Linked DNA regions of Arabidopsis thaliana. The protein of the gene in region 3 binds, or shares a complex with, the protein of the main gene of each other region. Each region holds a gene or a part of one and is shown on either strand. Other genes may lie near its edges. The genes, in order: CLE9, IDL3, HSL1 and IDL2. A codon is read from its position in the direction of its gene.

Region 1 (3,954 bases), 810 kb from region 3:
TCTCTCTTATTTTTTTTATCTTTTTTGTTCCCAAACTCTAAAAATAAAAATCTAAACTTTACTGTGGAAATTACACAAAAAAGCTTGTTTTACTTTTCTCCTCTCTGTTTCTTCTTAGCTTGAAGTTCGGATCTTGTACTTAGCTATACAGAGAAACTGTCACATCTCTGAATCTGATTACAAGAAAGAAAAAAAGCATCAAACTTGCTGCTTCTTTATTCTCTTTTCTTCTCTGTATCAGTTTTGTCGGTTTATGCAGCACTCGTCTTCATTCATAGATTTTGATTTGAGGTAAACTAAACTCATCAGATATTAAAAATGGGTTCTTTACTTCTTTCGATTTCGTGTGTAAAGGAGAAACCTTTATTGATTCTTTCTTGCTTGTTTGCTGTTTGATCATTTGTCTAAGAGAAGAAGGTCAAATTTTCAAATGGAGGAAGGGAAAGAGAATTCGTTTTTGTGCAAGTACTGTTACAAGACGTTTCCTTCTGGGAAAGCACTCGGTGGTCACATTAGAATTCATACGAACGAGAATTCAGTTGGTTACAATGGCAATAAGAAGAAGAGGTTGGTGGATCAGAGAAAGATGATGGCTCAGAAACATAAGCAACAACAACAAGTTGGTTGCAGAGAATGTGGTAGAGTGTTCGTTTCTTTGAAAGCTCTTAGAGGTCACATGGCTTGTCACGGTGAGGTAAAGAAGATGTTGATGGATGATAATAGCCAATCTGATACTGAAAGTGAGACTTCCTCAGCTCCTATGAGGAAAAGATCCAAGAGGGTGGTCATGAAACAATCAAATTCTGAATCTTTGAGTAATGGGAGCTCGTCTTTTGGTTCTGAGATTGACCAAGAACGTAGGGATGGGGCTTATAATTTGATGATGTTGTCGAGTGATTCTAGTAGTTTCAAGAAAAGACGTAACATGGTGATGAATTCTCTTGGTGAGTCATCTGACAACAACTCTGCGATTGTTGAGAATAAGTCATCTTCAGGGGATGAGTTTAAGATCATGAATGTGAAGAATGCAGTAGATGACCAATGGAGATCTGCTGATGATGATGGAGTTAGTCTCTGTGATTCAGATGGCTCTGATTCTGATTACTTCATGAATGGTCCAAGTAAGTCGGAGTCAGACATTTCTGTTGACAGGAACACTGGATTTGGATCTGGATTCAACAACTCATTGATCAGGTTCAGGAATAGTAATGAGGGAGGAACAAAGTATGAGCTGAGCAAAAGCAAGAGAGCCTTGTTTTCTTATGAAACTGATTCATGTGCAGACACAAACAGCAAGATTCATCATAGGTTCAAAGATAGCAAATCCTCAATGGTTAAGAAAGAAGGTGGTGAGAAGGTGAAGAGCAAAGGTCATGAGTGCCCAATTTGCTTCAGGATGTTCAAATCAGGCCAAGCTTTAGGTGGTCACAAGAGATCACATTCCATTGCAAACCACGCAGCTGAAATGCGTAACCAAATCGATCTCTATCTTCCTGTTTCGGATACTGATGAATGAATCAGAACCTGAGAACTATAGTTCTCTCTGATAGTATTTCATCCCCACTTTTTGTTTGTTTTCTTTGCTCCACATTTTAGAACTAGATCAAAAGTTTTTTTTGATTTGTTCATATAAAGTTTGCTTATCACTTAGAGCCAATTCTTTGCTTTATGAACTCAAGTATTGATGTATATATTATCTTCAGCTTTTTAGGGACCTTTCATGTTTCTTACTGATTACTGAGATTCATTCTTCTTGTCTTCAAAGAAAGCTGTTACTTTTAAAGTTTTTTTTTCCTTTTTCGAGCTTTCACCTATAAGACTTCCTCTGTATTCATATTAGCACAATCAAAGTCAAGACTACAAGAGCCATTGTCTATTGCTTTTATGATGATGTTTTGGTTCTAACATAAAAAGGGAGAGAGTTGTGTTCAAGTTAAAGTTGTTGATTCAATTGAAAGGAGGAAAAGCAAAATAAATAAATCCCAAATTTGGTAACTTTACTAATTTATAGGTAGTTGGGTTTAGATAGACTCCTATTGGGCCTGTTAAGGCCTTTAAACTATAGAAGCCGATAAAGACCCAGGAGTTAACTTGAGAGTCACGAAACCACTCAAATACACGTTCTTGTTTATCTTGTGTACGTAATTACTACATAAACCCATTATTTTGTACGTATAACGTATTGTATGAAAAAGCTAAAGAAAGTGAAATAAATCTAGGATCGAAATGTATATAATAAAGTTCACGGGTTGGTATTTATGTCAATGAAAACGAACTAAGCGAAGGACCCACTTTTTTTTGTATAACCAGTTTTGCCCTCTCATTTACTAAAACTAACCGTCATAACATCGATTCATGTGCTTCTTCTGTGTTGCATTTATATCCCAATTTGCTTCCACCAAATATCTTCCCTCTCTCGATTTTAAACTTCTTCTTCTCCAAGACCACTTCTCACTTTCTCTCTCTCGCTCTCTCTTGGAAACCAAAACAATGACGATGACTCACCTGAATCGTCTGATCTTGATCTCTCTTCTCTTCGTCTCTTTACTTCTCAAATCCTCCACCGCTTCTTCAACCGTCGTCGACGAAGGAAACAGAACATCAAGAAACTTCCGTTACCGAACGCACCGATTCGTTCCGAGGTTTAACCACCACCCTTACCACGTGACTCCTCACCGTTCGTGTGATTCCTTCATTCGTCCTTACGCGCGTTCTATGTGCATTGAGCTTCAGAGAATCCACCGTAGCAGTCGGAAGCAGCCACTTCTTTCTCCTCCTCCTCCGGAGATTGATCCAAGGTACGGCGTCGACAAAAGACTCGTCCCCTCTGGTCCAAACCCGCTTCACAACTAAAACCATATCCTCAAGTTTCTATACATACATATATACAGAAACATTTGTCACATATTTTCTAATTTAACTCGTTTCTCGGATTTGTTCGAGAGAGATTTGTGTACTTTATAGCTAGAGTTATTTTGGCCCAAGAAGATGGTTCGTTAGTTCTTCTTGGTCTTCTTTGCGGAAATTTCTTATTTCTACTTTCTTGATCTTGTAATGGAGTCTTGCGTTATGGTAATATTGTAACTAAGCTATTTCCACGCTTGTTTTTGGGCTTTGTAGTGTGAAAACAATCTTGGAAATAGTGTATTTTTGCAAGGGACTTTCTTTTGTTTTTCTAATGAGAAAATGATAAATTATAGTTTTGAAAGCGAAAGGAGAAAAAAAGATTTAGTATGGTTGGGAGAGGAGAGGTGAAGAAACGCATGAGCTCCATTAATTTGGGAGCTGTATTTATGTAACTCTAAAGTTTCCATTGGTCTATCAATAAAAATTTAAAAAGGTTGATGGGGCATATATATGTTATGTTCTTCTCTTTCGTGTGATATTTCGCTGTAAAGATATTTATTTCGCTTGTCTCTGTCAATAGACAATAGTAAAAACTTTGCAAATATAGAAACTTTTATTTATAATTTTGCCAACCAGATTTTCCTTTATCATTTTGCCAGCCAAATTTTTTATGTCTACTCATTTTTACAAATGTGGCACCGTCCACCATGTACGTGTTATCATCCGATTTAATCAACGGATTATAAGTTGTAGAAAATATTATTTATTACTCTTTATGAAAAGGAAAGTTATGAAAGAAAATGTATATATCTTAATGTTTATCGCCAAATTTATGGGATAAAAGTGTTTTAAGATGAGATGATGAATATAGTGCAAGCCTGGCAAAACAGAAAAGGAAACAAGAAGCAAAATTGGAGGGGAAAAAAATAATCTTTATAGAGTAAAATAGAAATAACTTGAATGCATTTTTGGTATAAGATGAATCAGAAAAAGTTATAATTTTTGTTTGTAACTTGTGAATTTCGAGTATTTTATCTAGTACATATCACTTTTTGGGTTTAGAGCCTTTCAAAATCTCTGGACCGGACCGGTCTACTCGCAACAAAA
Region 2 (3,342 bases), on a different chromosome or scaffold from region 3:
TATTTTGCGAATCAGAGGCCCATTAAATTTACTCCTCTTTTTCTATGTCAATACATAGAAAACAAATAAAGAAAGAAGGCGAGTTATCGTTATGCTATAACCTCATCGCACTTTTTATGTTTTTTTGGTATGAGCCTCATCGCATTTGTTATCTTTATGATCGTGTTTATATTATATATGTAAATGTAGTGCGATTGCAATGAAATAACGTTTCTTTTAGTGAAGAATTGCGCTTAAGTTTTTGGCGGAGGGTAATTGTATTGCAAAAGTCACTAAACTTTAGAGAGAAGCATTTAACCTTTCGGATTACAAAAAAATACTGTGACAATAAAAAAAAAAAATCAATGAGAATGATGCATTGGAGAAAACGTGTATGAACAGATGGTCGGTAAAAAAAAAAAAAAAAACGTGTATGAACAGATGGTCGGTAATTAGCACGAAAATCGCTTTGGTTGTAATTTGTAATAGTACTATTTTATACTCGTATATTTTCAACAGTGTTGTTACAGTAACGCTAAGGAACTAGCCTGGACAAGCTTTTACATCTCATTTACTGTTGTTGTTCTGACACAACTACTGTTGTTGCCTTTTATGTTCGGTTTCCTTCGTTCTTCTAAGTTCTGACATCTTGTTCGTACAAAGGGGTCTCATCGTCATTATTCTCTGCCTTCAATATATATGCCGCAAAAGAGGATGCAACTCAAAAGTGTCCACTAAAGCTACGGTCTTTAAGTTGATGATTACGTTAAGGAAGATGTCCAAGAAATAAAAAGTTGATGTCTTGATGATGACTAAAATTTAGAATTGGTTGATCCGGTCTTGCGGTGCAGTAGTTGTATTGCCTGGTCGTTAAGTCACGTTACGTTTTAGCTCGAACTTGTTTTACGTAAAGGATAGATCTAGGAAATATAGAAACTTTTTTATGCATATGCGCGTGGTTTGCTCAATCAATTGTAAGAGATTGCAAGGATAGAATACACTATAGTATTATCAAACTGATATGAAATTATTTTATTTTGTCGTCAAGTAATATGAATTATATTTTTTTCACATAACATGAAATGAAAAGGCTTGACCTTGACCCACCACTAATTATTTTTCTTTCGTTTTCTTCTCTTTGTCCCCTCTCACTTTCACTCCACAGAGAGGATTAATTGATAATATATTATAGAAACAAATGTGAAATGTATTTTAAATTGAAAGTAAACTAAAAATCTTGACAATGTTAATAACCTGTAATCCTAATGGTCAATGCTAAAACCGTTATTATATGATCAGACATGGTCAAACCCACATAATACATGTTATTTCAAACGCAAAATTAGAAATATCATAAATATGCAATAGTACTTATACGTGAACCTAATTAAAGACAGCTATAAAGGAGTCTTCCTCCAACTTTTTTTGTCTTGTGGGTCATATCAAGAGCTATGAAGAGACGTTATTGTTTTTGCCCAACAACGTTTTTTACGCATTCCAATATGAGATCATGTTCAGAAATAGTTAATTTAAACTCAAGTGAAGGTAGTATAGGGGTAAAACATCTTGTGTCTCCAATTTGATTTAGTATGTTTTGAATAATGTAATTACTACGTAAATATCCATGATTAACTAGATTTAGGTTTAGTGCATGGTTTTCCTTAATAAGAGAGATAAGAATAGAACCATATGAGTAAATAAAAAGAAACATACAAATAGAACCATAAGTCAACATCTTTCCAATCAAAATCTCTCTCTCTTGATGTGCCCATATTTCTAGCTGTCAACAATTCACAGCCTTCTCTTTTTCATTCAATCACCCATCAACAAAAAAATAAAACCTTTTAAATATTAAATACTTCCACCCAAAACTCCTTCAAACAAAAATCACTTCCCTCCCTCCATCTCTCTCTATTCACTCTCCCAATTTACACCAATGTCTTCTCGAAGCCACCGATCAAGAAAATATCAACTCACGAGAACAATTCCTATTCTTGTTCTTCTTCTTGTCCTTTTGAGTTGCTGCAATGGAGCAAGAACCACGAACGTCTTCAACACAAGCTCGCCACCCAAACAAAAGGACGTCGTTTCGCCACCTCATGATCATGTCCATCATCAAGTACAAGATCACAAAAGTGTACAGTTCTTGGGGTCCCTGCCACGTCAGTTTCCGGTTCCAACTTCTGGTCCTTCCAGAAAACATAACGAAATCGGTTTAAGTAGTACTAAGACTTAATCTTCACCTTGTAGTTCAAAGGTTTGATTAATGAATCATCCTTTTTACTTCTGTAAGTTTTTTTTGTTTTAGTTTTTGCCCCTTTTGAATTTGGTTCAAACTGATGTAAATAGATTTCAGTTTGATTTATTTATGGGCAATGCTGTGGATACGATCAAATTTTTTAGTTTAATATTGGAACTTGTTTGATCCATTGAAATATTGCAAGTACGTAAGAGCATCCACATTGGTGGTTATTTATACATGTCTTTAAATATAAAACTATAAAAAATAATAATAATAAAATAATGAATGTCTTTAATTTGAGATTTGTGTCTTCCTAAAGACACTTTATACACAACAAAAGTGAAATGTCTTTAATTTTATTATTTATTTATACTAAAAACATATATAAAAAGTTGTCTACTCTAAGTGTACAAGAGCCGAGGATAGAAGGGTCGGTTTCTAATTAAACAATTATTGTTCTTTTTATTTTCCGTCTTCTAATTTGATATATATGAAATTATATATCATATGTTCACTGTATCCTAATCGTGGATTATTACGGACATAATGATAATTGTTGAGATATATACAAGTCCCGATCAATTTAGGCTACATCTGTTTGGTAGAATATTGATGGATATAAGCCGAGTAGTGATTTCAATATTTTATATCCACTCTCTTCTTATAAGTTATGGTAATAACAAATAGAAGGTTATTCTACATATACTAGTATTTGAGTTGGTGTTTAAATACCTCGGGTTATTCGGACATGCATAGAGAAAATATATGGTATTTTAAGATAAACATTATCCCATAATATATGGACATTGACAAATACAAATAATGTGTGTTCGTGCGTAAAAGAATTGTCATTTCTTTAAAATAAGAAGGAATGAAAGATTGAAAGGTATATGTTCTAACTAAAACGTGTGATTAAGATTGGACTTATATACATAGTTGATTACTTTGGATGTATCTTTTTGTTTAATTTTTGTTTCAATAATGTCATTGAGTAGTCGTTGTGAATACGATTGACCAACGGTTGCAGAGATATATTGGAGGATTTGATGTGATATCTCCTAAGAATTTCAGAAGTTCATTGAACGTTTTTTTGGGGTTAGTGAAATAGTATCATTTGTATC
Region 3 (6,660 bases):
TACTTGTTCTAGCAAATACAAACATGTTATGTGGAATCTCTATGAAACCTCATCATGCAACAAGTTGAAAAAAATAAACAAAAAGGAAATGCAAAAACAAAGAAAACAAAATTGAGAAATGATTTAGAGAGTGAAAGAGACAGAGAGACAAGGCAAAAGATGAAGGTGAGGTGTCTATGTCCCTTGAATTGAATGATAACAATGTGGGCTGGCTTCAATGCTTATTGGACCCACTTTTAATTTCCTCACCCAACAGCTCATATTTAGATTCTCACCCTATTTATGTAACCTTAATGTAAAATTCTCTAGTTAGATGATAAAGCTTAGCTAATGTTGAGATGTCAATGTTTTTGTTTTGGATTTGTTTTATACTCAACAATAATAGAAGTTATCTCTTTAGTTTTTAATGTCGTTACTTAATTGCAATTAGGAAGTTAAACGTTTACCTAATCACTACCGGTCGATTTACATGACTTAACTAATTCTTTTTCTCTTTTTGGAATTATATCTTTCTTACAAATAGTTCTCGAACTCCAAGAATATCATGTTTTAAAGAATGACTGTCAAAAAAACATACGTTGTTTATTATAGATACTAGACTTCACACAAGTAACTAAAAGTTAGAGATCTTTTCGCAGGAAGGTTGATATTAGTCATTTCATGTGCCAAGTCTGATGTTCATGCTCGTGTACGGAGAGAGTAAGTAAAGGAAATAACACAACCTGAAATTATAAATAATAATAGAAAAGTTGGTTTGAAAAAGTTGAGAATTTAAGAGACATGTGAATCTACAGTGACATCAAACTGTACACGAGCCTCCAAGAGTTCACTAAAAACGAGAGAGAGAGAGAGAGCCTAATGCTTTAAAAGATTCAGATAGACATGTTCCTACACGAACCTTGAATCTGTTTACCCAAATATGGAAACTATTTAAATGCATGTTAACGCCAGAAAGATCGCAACTTTTTCATTTGCATTTACCAAAGATAAAAACTCTTACAAAACCAGAGTTTACTAATAGCTTTATACAGTGGAGAAACTGAAACGCTGAATTAGAAACTTCTTTATATATATTATAAAAATTTCGACAATCTCTGATTCTCACTTTTAGATCAAAACCCTAAAAAGGGGTGAGAGAATCTTGATTCAATGCCCTAAATTGACAGCTTCAAGCACCAAAAATTGAGAGAGCTTTTTTGGGCAAAACACTTTTCTTTCTCCATTTGTGTCTCAAGCTATACTTCCTTGGTCTGAGGTGTCTTCGTTGTAATAAGGTGTTAACTTGCCATCCTTGTCATCTCTTATCTTGTGTAGGCTATCTTCGTCTCCACCACCAATTTCTTGCAACATCTTAACCACACGCCTCATGGAAGGTCGGTTAATGGGCAACGGACTCGTGCAGAGGAGTCCAACGTTGAGGATTTTGCTTATCTCTTCTTTGAAACAAGAGTCGAGTTTCGGGTCTATCACATGCTCTATGCCTTTTTGGTCCAATGTAGAGCAAACCCACTTCACCAAATCCTTCTCCCCAAGTTCTGGATCAACCGGGCGTTTCCTAGTTACTATCTCAAGGATCACTACCCCGAAACTGTAGATGTCGCTTTTCTCGTTCACACGAAGCGTATATGCGTATTCTGCAAGAAGTTTGAAATGAAAGTTATGGAGGGAAACAGACAAACAAACAAAAAGTTTCAAATTCCATTAATGGACAAGTGAGAAGTTGTGGAGCCATGGTTTCAGACATGTCTCAATAGATAGTGAATGCTCATTTAAGTCTCAACTAATAAAACTTAAATGTGGTTCATCTGAATCTCCGTGCAACATGTACCAAATGAGCATTATTACCTTAAGCAAAACTGTTGATTAAACAAAGCACATTTAACTTGAATCATAAGACTAACCTGGTGCGATATAACCGCATGAACCAGCGATCACTGACATCGATTTAGGAGCTTTTCCGGTCAAGTCGACAGCTTTAGCCACACCAAAATCAGCAACTCTTGCACCATAATCTCCATCGATCAAAATATTGTTTGACTTAATATCTCTATGCACAATCGGAGGAACAGAATCATGGTGAAGATACGAAAGCCCCTCAGCCGCATCTAAGATAATCTTAAACCTCGTTTGCCATCCCAACATTCCTCCTTTACTGCTATGAAGCAAATCTCCCAAACTACCATTAGGCATGTACTCATAAACCAAGAGCTTGCAGTCTCTTGTAGAACAGCAACACCATAGCTTCACAATGTTCTTATGCCTAATCTTACCCAATGTCTCAACTTCAGCTTCAAAAGCCTCATCTTGAACTCCAGGTTTGTAACCTTTCTCTGGATCACAATCTCCAGTTTCCTTAACAGAACCTGTCCATAAACGCTTAACCGCAACAGTTTCCCCATTGGTGAGTACAACCTTGTAAACTTTACCTGAAGCTCCAGCTCCAATCACATTATCTTCATCCAAGCTTTCAAGAATCTCATGCTCACTGAACCCGAGTTTGTGGAACGACATTAGAGTCCACTTAGATCTCTCCATGGCTCTTGCTTTCTTGAAAGTCCTGTACTTGAAGTAGAACCAAGCAACACCCGCAAGAAGCACCATCGCAGCAAGTACGAAAATCGATCTAAGAAGCCATACATAGCCTCTCTTCTTAGCTTCATTCTCAGAGCCACACAATCCCTTGATATCCCCACACAATCCCGGGTTCCCAATGAAGCTATTCTTATACATATCTTTCGCTAAAGAAGGCGGTAAGTCACCCGATAACCGGTTATAAGACAGATTCAGCTGGTTTAGCTTCAAACTCTGCAATGAAACCGGGATCTTGCCAGAGAACATGTTACCAGAAAGATCAAGATAGTTCAATACTGACAAACTCCCGATTTCATCTGGAATTTTACCGGTGAATTCGTTATCGGCTAAGTTTAACTCGTTGAGCTTCTTCCAAGATTTGATTCCAGAAGTTAACTCTCCTGAAAACTGATTACCATGAAGATCAAGAGTACCTAATTCTCCAAGACTCATCAAGCTATCAGGCAACGAGCCACTGAACTTGTTCCCACTTGCCGACAACTGATTAAGATTATCCAAAGAACCAATTTCCTCCGGCAAAGATCCGGTGAATTCATTGTTGGAGAGAATCAACAGCGAGAGATTTGAAGCACCTCCAATGGACTTCGAAATTTCACCGGAGAACGAGTTGTTGACGAGCTCAAGCAAGTTAACATGAGGCAATCCCCAGAAACCTGTAGGAACTGAACCGGAAAACCGGTTATAAGCTAACCGGATACGTGTCAAGCTCCTGCAATCGGCGAGACTCTCCGGTATAACGCCGGAGAAGGAATTGTGTATAATCAACAACTCCTCTAGCTCTCCTTTCGCACACAGATCCGCCGGTAAGTCGCCGGAAAATTCGTTTTCCGAAACATCCAACCATCTCAACGGCGAGTTTAGACCGAGGTCTTTTGGTAATCCACCGGTTAACCGGTTTCCGAATATTCTAATCTCGTACAAGTTCGGAGATAACGCTATACTCGCCGGAAGCTCACCTTCTAGATTGTTCTCGTAGAGATTCAAACTCTCCAACGGCACACGGCAAAGCTCGTCCGGTATTTTCCCGGTTAACTGATTCATCGACGCGTCGAGAAGTCTCAACGATTTCAAATTCCCGAGCTCCGGTGGAATCTCTCCGGTCAACGAGTTGTTGTACAGCTCAATCTGAACGACGTTAGTCAAACCACCGAGCGAAGGAGGAATATGACCTACAAGGTCGTTGAGCGCAAGGTCTAAATCAACGAGTTTACTGAGTTGACCCAGCGAGTCAGGGATCTGTCCGACTAAATGACACTCAGTGAGCCACATAACCTCGAGATTCGTCAAGTTCCCGAACTCCGGCGGGATCCGACTCGGACTAAAGGGGTTATACGAAAGATTCAGCATCTTCAACGTGCTGATGTTGCCGAGAAACGGAGGAATCGTACCGTCTAAGAGATTGTAAACAAGAGAAAGAACCTCTAGGTTTTCGAATTTGCCGAAACTCGCCGGAATGTCACCGGAAAAGTTGTTACCGGTCAAATCTAAGTGAACCAAAGTCGGAATATCGGCAAGAGTTTGTGGAAGCTCACCGGTGAGTAGATTCTGAGAGAGATCGAGAGTTTGAAGACTCTTACAAGCAGCGATGTTGAGAGGAAGAGTAGAGTTGATGGAGTTATTGTACAAAGAGAGATGAGCCAGATTAGAGAGACGACAAATGACTGAAGGAAAAGGTCCGGCGAGATTAGCGCTGGAGAGGTCTACGGAAGTGACGGAGGAGAAATCACCGGCGCAGGAAACGCCGGACCACCGACAAGGAGAAGCATCGTTGGAGTTCCAGGAAGAGAGATATGAGTCTGGGTCGTCTAACGAGAGCTTGACTTGTTGAAGAATGAAACCGTCTTGGTTAAGAGAGAAGACGGTGGGGAAAAGTAAGAAGAGAAAGAGAAGATACATGTTTCTTCGTCTTCCCCGGTATCTATGACGGTGGTTGAAGAAAGAGAGAGAGATAAGAGAGTATGAAGAAGAGAGTGTTTGTGAGAGAGTGCTTTGAAGGAAGAGAAGAAGAGAGTCTATAAAAAGCGTTGACCGGAGACAGGTGAATTATCGTGACTCTGACTGTGAATGCTATAAAAATCATTTGTTTTTCTACTATCATTTATTTTGTTTTTGTTTTCTATAACGATTCTCTCTAATTATTTGTTTGCAATTATTAGTATCTATGTCGAGTTTCCAACATTGTATAATTATCCTGTGTTTATCTGATTATAAAAGAGAATGTTACTAATAATGATGATCTAGCTAAATAGCCATATGGAAGGAAACATTCTTTTTTTGTACTTTGTTGTTTAAGAGAATGCAACTGTTTTTAAATTAGTTATGTAGGAGACGATAAGATTGTAAATTTTCAATTAAATAATTTTAGCTTTATAATATATATGGAATTTGCATACAAATTTGATTTCATTATATATGTTTTTAATGTAAATGAAAAGTTAGTTAGTAGAGTAAATGTGCATTTTAAAAAAATTGCAAGGTGAAAAGAAGGTACGGTAAACATTAATTTTGAAATGTAGATATCTGATTTTTTTTTTTTTTTTTTTTTGGAGATGGAATGAGATATATTCCGACAGTTTTATTTATTATCGGCGTTTGTAAAGTAGTAAAGTACAAATATTGTTAGAACATATCAAAAAAAAAAAAAACAGAATGTGTTGGAAGTTTACTTGGAACGTAGTCTAAAGTCGATGTGAATTAAATTAATTATCATTCAATTTTAAAAAGTTTATGCACGTCTTAAAGAGTATTAGGAATATTGTATCAACTATTAAGAGAATAAACTAGCATGCATGTAGAAACATGAAAATATTTTATTTTGTTGAAATGTGAAATTCATTTTTGAAGATAATAATATGTAGTTATTTACAAAAAATGCAAAGAAAATATGGAAGATAGGATAAGATATCAAAATATTGAGATATTTATGAAATTAAACATTCTCTAATGAAATTTGTTATACTAATTAGTATTGCAAAGGGAAAGAGGGGGACAAACTTGTATGGTTAAACGTTAGGAAACATATTGCCTAATGGTGTAGTCAATATGAGAATGCACTTCTCAAGCGAGAGTCATGAGTATTGCTTATCTTAGAGATGTCATAGTCTTAAAAAAGTATTCGAGTCGAATAAGAGTTCTTTATGGTTTTTAAATTTTAGGTTGATATGCAACAAAATTGGAAGACGTAAAATAATGTATTGTGAAAAACAAACTGTGTGTACACTTTGTTCTTATTCTCACAACTTGGTTTTCATAAGTTGTTACGGCTAAACGAAATCGTAAATTATTTTGTAGGATGTGAAAAAGAGTTGCACTAACTGTACTTGTGTTCAAGAATTTTGTTTTTGAGGACGTGAATACATTGTTGAATCCAGTTAAAAAAAATTGTTATCTATTTTTGTTTTTATTTTCTTACGATTTGGATTTCATGCCCGTTACATTATGAGAATTGTTACGTTTACTATCATAATCTCAATCTTAGTTTATCAGTTGGAATTTGATTTTATTTTAGTTAATCTTAATTTAACAAAATAATAAACTCATAAAAGAACAACACAAATTTTGCCTACATATATGTTAGTTAGAAAACGTATGTTCTAACATATGTATCGGTTGAGAAAAGCATCACTTTAATCAACATACCATTTGAATGATATTTAAAGAGATAGATGAGTGAAATTTTGGAGATAGATTGATTCCAAGCAGTCTTCTCTTCTTCGTGTTTCTAATAGTTTCTGTGAAACACACAATACAAGTTGTCAAAAAAAAATTAGGGTACACTAAACGGAGTTCGACACTTGTATCCTATAAGATAGACATTTAAGAAATTACGTACACTACAATAGCTACAAATCTCTGTCTTATGAGATTGTTATAAGCAAAGTCTCTTTCATCCTACAAATTGTTGCTAGCTAGTTGATTGAAAGAAACCGTCAAATTAGTTTTGTTTATATTTTTAATTTCATTACTTAGTTAATCAAGTTTCCATTACGTGTGATTGATGTCCTCTTATAGTTTCATAACATTGTCACTTTGGAATTATTTAATAGAACTATTAATTTGTTACGAGTA
Region 4 (3,506 bases), on a different chromosome or scaffold from region 3:
CCGAACGTGATTAAAGAAGAAGAAGATAGATTTCGAGGTTTCAGAACTCATTACTCTTAACAAACATGTAATGATGAGTACTGTACTGTTAATTATAGCATTGATTATATTAAATAACTACGAAAAAAAAAGAGTACTCGATTGGTATTTTATTATCAAATAAATATGTAATTAGATCGGTTTATTTGTCTTTAAAAATGATCATTACGTATTTGTTTAAAATCAAGTGCAGTTCAATATCATACACTATATTTTAAAAATGTTTCTGTTTATCTTCTTCTATTGATCACACCTTTCTGATCTTATGTACCTATTGATGATCACCTTCCGGCATAAATGTCACGTTTAATGTCAAAATAAATTAAATGGCTATAGAATTAGATGCAACCTTGGTCCATCACATTGACAAATCACAATAGACATTTCAAAGACATTATTGGTTATCATTAAAACAAATCGATAGATCCCAAGAAAAAAGTCGATTATAAATCTCAAGACCATTCTACATCAGACTTTTTAGTTACACCATATATTTCAAACCTCTTTAAAGTTTAAAGATTTGATCTATTCTTTTACAAACACACATACAAATTAGTCCTTGTGATATAATATTCAAAGTCAATTTTCGAACTAATCATAAACTTTTTCAGATAGTTAAATTATTATTATAATAACAAGAACACGTGTATATCATGAGGATGATCGGCTCACACACTTTGATACGTGCAATATTACAAATTCGAGCTATCCAAAAAATAATACAACTTCCAATTACAATTTCATAATAATAAATCATATGTTTAGCCTTGTCGACATTAATCAAACAAAAATAACCATTTTCTTGGCATTACCAAAAAAAAATAAAATAAAAAACATTTACACCAACTTAAAACTCAAAAGCAAAGGGTAAAAGAGAGGAACCGGAATGAAAGAAACATATAACTAATTAAAAGAAAGAAAGAAAATAAAATTCAAGACCTTTCAAGCTTTTTCTCACGGAGAAGATCGATGCCAACTAAGTAAACCAATATCATTGTGTTTTCTGGAGGGACCAGAAGCTGGAACAGGGAAGTGACGTGGCAAGAACCCCAAGAACTGTTTAGTTGAAGAAGAAACGGCGTCGTTGTGCTTCTTGTGTGGTTTCGAGTTGAAGACGTTCGTGTTTGTTCTTGCTCCATTGCAGAAACCAAGAAGAAGAATGAGAAGAAGAAGAATGGTTCTAGTGAAGAAGGAGACGAAGAAACTAGAGGTGATTCTTGATCTTTGGTTTCGAGACGACATTGTTGAAGAAGAGAGGTTTTTTGTGGAAGGGTTTTTGGTGAATTTGTTCTAAATATAATTGTTGTGAAAGGACTTTATTTTTTGTTTGTTGTTGATGGGGAAAAAGGAGATTGCTGAATGAATTTGTTGACAGCAAGAAATATGGGCAGATGGAGATTGAGAGAGATAGATAGAGAGAGAATCTGACTAAGAAGAGGTTTTTGAGTTATGTTTTCGTGTGTATTTAATTACTTCTGATATATACTTTCTCTTTATTTTTTCACGAACTATTCAACTATGCAAGTAGTTGTAGACTTGTTGACAACTGGTTTTGGTCTACAAGCCGAAGAAACTGTTTGGTGGTAGATTTTTTTAGACTTATAATTGTTGATAGTTTAGGTTTATTGAAAAAATGTTGCAGGGCACAAATATTTACAGTTCTTAAATTATTAAGGCAAAATTTATGGTAACTAAGCACACAAAATGGTTGTAGACTTATTGTCATTAAGTGGTTTAGGTTAAAGGGGGAGTGTTTTTTACTTGACCCACATATGATCTGAAAAATTATAGGGAACGAAGATTTGTTTACTGAAAGGTATGGAAAGTTTTAATGAAATGCCGAGAAAATTAAACCAGAAACTTTTGATATCCTCCATATTCGTTGTCTTTCACTTTTATGCGAAAGTTATTAGAGTAATGAAAACATCCCATTAGTTTTCATCATATTCATCAAAAACACTAACGATAGTCGATAGCTCGCTTAAGATTTATATATTTCAAAACAAATTATCTTATGGAAATGGAGACAAGACGTTTGTACGGCGCAATAATGTGTTTTTCTCTTGTCAACAGTTGCATAGAATTATTCTCTTTTGCTTTGTATTTTCGACACAACTAACATAGTAATTTTAAAGCTATAGTGCTTTGGGAGGGATTATCGTAAAACTCTTGCTTAACAAGACTATTTATAAAATTGGAAAGTTCAACATTTACTTGCATGAAATTTTGAAATCACCTGTTTTCAGTAAGGTTTGAGGTTTTATAATTTTAAAATATGATTTTACAAAATAGTCCAGTTATTACATTACACATATAATCTTTCTGGTGGATAAGTTTAACATTACAAAAAATAAAAATCCAATTAATTAGTTGACTATAACCTCTGGTATATAATAATTTTCTATAATATTGACAAAAACAAAGGAAATAAAAAGATTATATAACAAATAAAGATAGATTCGTTTGTTTCTTCAAATGCCTTGGATGCAAGGTTTCATGTCACCTATGTTCAATGAATAAGAAAGAACGGAGAAAGTGGGCAAAGAGAAAATATTAATACAAAGTGATATGGTAAGGTAAAGCCTTTTCTATGTTATGTCAAGACTCAAAACTTTATATAATTTTATAGTTTTTTTGTTAGGAGAAAATATGACAGGCCCCAGTCTAAATATAGTGACCGATTATAATTATGTCACAACATTGCGACTATTCAATCTTTATTGCGAAATCTTCCTCAATTTAAGCTACTTCAAATGCATATATGTTACCATATTTTGTGTAGACACACGTATGCACACAGTCCATATATCAATCACCGTTCTTGCCATTTCAATCTCTTATCTAAGCTTTTTCCATTAGAGTTAATTAGAGTTCTTCATTCAATGCAACCTCTTCCCAACACTTATACGGTTTTACCATTTTTCATCCACTTTTGTAAAAGGAAATCTAATAAATGAAATTCAGAGCCATAAGTCTACTTGGCATACAAATTACAAAAGATTAATGGACATATATACAACAGACCAAATAGTATGTGATCTATTGAGTTACAAATTAATTAAAATTTGCTTTCAAAATTTTATTTCTTGGTTAACGTACATGACAAAGGTCAGAATAAATGATTATTAGACCTGATACCTTGTAATAGTTATCTTTTATGGAAATTAAATTAAAAACATTTCAATGAGTATGGAGTAAAATGACTCTTATTGTCCCAATATTATGAGAAGAAGTACACGAACAGAAAGTAAACTAAAATAGAAGAGTCTTGGTAATGTCAGGAACAACAGTTGAAATCTAAAGTTGGTCTAAGTCCCATACCTTTCTCTACTATTTCAAACACTGACTACGTCTTAGCTACCCTATTACAAATCTAGCAACCGTACTTCTCCATTATTATTTCATTCTTTTATTTGAAATAGTGTTTCAAAATTATTTTATTTTAGGCCAACACGAAACTGACTGAC

Evidence for each region.
Region 1: the proteins of HSL1 (region 3) and CLE9 are in contact, whole or in part, in a crystal structure (PDB 7OGU), measured with the Arabidopsis thaliana proteins. Residues at the interface, in NP_174166.1 of Arabidopsis thaliana: Val164 (codon at 3,999), Tyr165 (codon at 3,996), Tyr189 (codon at 3,924), Trp211 (codon at 3,858), Asp233 (codon at 3,792), Asp235 (codon at 3,786), Gln257 (codon at 3,720), Glu259 (codon at 3,714), Tyr261 (codon at 3,708), Leu281 (codon at 3,648), Leu282 (codon at 3,645), Asp283 (codon at 3,642), Met286 (codon at 3,633), Ser304 (codon at 3,579), Asn306 (codon at 3,573), Tyr308 (codon at 3,567), Glu328 (codon at 3,507), Arg330 (codon at 3,501), Phe332 (codon at 3,495), Asp354 (codon at 3,429), Ser356 (codon at 3,423), Glu376 (codon at 3,363), Leu378 (codon at 3,357), Ile380 (codon at 3,351), Arg400 (codon at 3,291), Arg402 (codon at 3,285); in NP_564251.1 of Arabidopsis thaliana: Arg109, Leu110, Val111, Pro112, Ser113, Gly114, Pro115, Asn116, Pro117, Leu118, His119, Asn120.
Region 2: the proteins of HSL1 (region 3) and IDL3 are in contact, whole or in part, in a crystal structure (PDB 7OGZ), measured with the Arabidopsis thaliana proteins. Residues at the interface, in NP_174166.1 of Arabidopsis thaliana: Tyr165 (codon at 3,996), Tyr189 (codon at 3,924), Trp211 (codon at 3,858), Asp233 (codon at 3,792), Asp235 (codon at 3,786), Gln257 (codon at 3,720), Glu259 (codon at 3,714), Tyr261 (codon at 3,708), Leu281 (codon at 3,648), Asp283 (codon at 3,642), Ser285 (codon at 3,636), Met286 (codon at 3,633), Ser304 (codon at 3,579), Asn306 (codon at 3,573), Tyr308 (codon at 3,567), Glu309 (codon at 3,564), Glu328 (codon at 3,507), Arg330 (codon at 3,501), Phe332 (codon at 3,495), Asp354 (codon at 3,429), Ser356 (codon at 3,423), Glu376 (codon at 3,363), Leu378 (codon at 3,357), Ile380 (codon at 3,351), Arg400 (codon at 3,291), Arg402 (codon at 3,285); in NP_001318520.1 of Arabidopsis thaliana: Pro79 (codon at 2,150), Pro81 (codon at 2,156), Thr82 (codon at 2,159), Ser83 (codon at 2,162), Gly84 (codon at 2,165), Pro85 (codon at 2,168), Ser86 (codon at 2,171), Arg87 (codon at 2,174), Lys88 (codon at 2,177), His89 (codon at 2,180), Asn90 (codon at 2,183).
Region 4: the proteins of HSL1 (region 3) and IDL2 are in contact, whole or in part, in a crystal structure (PDB 7OGQ), measured with the Arabidopsis thaliana proteins. Residues at the interface, in NP_174166.1 of Arabidopsis thaliana: Tyr92 (codon at 4,215), Asn93 (codon at 4,212), Gln117 (codon at 4,140), Thr140 (codon at 4,071), Val164 (codon at 3,999), Tyr165 (codon at 3,996), Tyr189 (codon at 3,924), Trp211 (codon at 3,858), Asp233 (codon at 3,792), Asp235 (codon at 3,786), Gln257 (codon at 3,720), Glu259 (codon at 3,714), Tyr261 (codon at 3,708), Leu281 (codon at 3,648), Asp283 (codon at 3,642), Ser285 (codon at 3,636), Met286 (codon at 3,633), Ser304 (codon at 3,579), Asn306 (codon at 3,573), Tyr308 (codon at 3,567), Glu309 (codon at 3,564), Glu328 (codon at 3,507), Arg330 (codon at 3,501), Phe332 (codon at 3,495), Asp354 (codon at 3,429), Ser356 (codon at 3,423), Glu357 (codon at 3,420), Glu376 (codon at 3,363), Leu378 (codon at 3,357), Ile380 (codon at 3,351); in NP_001078796.1 of Arabidopsis thaliana: Val73 (codon at 1,065), Pro74 (codon at 1,062), Ala75 (codon at 1,059), Ser76 (codon at 1,056), Gly77 (codon at 1,053), Pro78 (codon at 1,050), Ser79 (codon at 1,047), Arg80 (codon at 1,044), Lys81 (codon at 1,041), His82 (codon at 1,038), Asn83 (codon at 1,035).

Annotation. Positions count from the first base shown.
Region 1 is NC_003070.9:9,189,194-9,193,147, forward strand, and holds CLE9 (CLAVATA3/ESR-RELATED 9), read left to right. Parts: upstream 1-2,309; 5' UTR 2,310-2,355; coding exon 2,356-2,853; 3' UTR 2,854-3,397; downstream 3,398-3,954. Other genes in the region: AT1G26590 (C2H2-like zinc finger protein), read left to right, coding at 254-291, 415-1,516.
Region 2 is NC_003076.8:3,045,303-3,048,644, forward strand, and holds IDL3 (inflorescence deficient in abscission (IDA)-like 3), read left to right. Parts: upstream 1-1,708; 5' UTR 1,709-1,915; coding exon 1,916-2,215; 3' UTR 2,216-2,451; downstream 2,452-3,342. UniProt on the Arabidopsis thaliana protein: May be involved in floral abscission.
Region 3 is NC_003070.9:9,994,742-10,001,401, reverse strand, and holds HSL1 (HAESA-like 1), read right to left. Parts: upstream 4,690-6,660; 5' UTR 4,489-4,689; coding exon 1,902-4,488; intron 1,635-1,901; coding exon 1,231-1,634; 3' UTR 947-1,230; downstream 1-946.
Region 4 is NC_003076.8:25,848,572-25,852,077, reverse strand, and holds IDL2 (inflorescence deficient in abscission (IDA)-like 2), read right to left. Parts: upstream 1,570-3,506; 5' UTR 1,282-1,569; coding exon 994-1,281; 3' UTR 703-993; downstream 1-702. UniProt on the Arabidopsis thaliana protein: May be involved in floral abscission.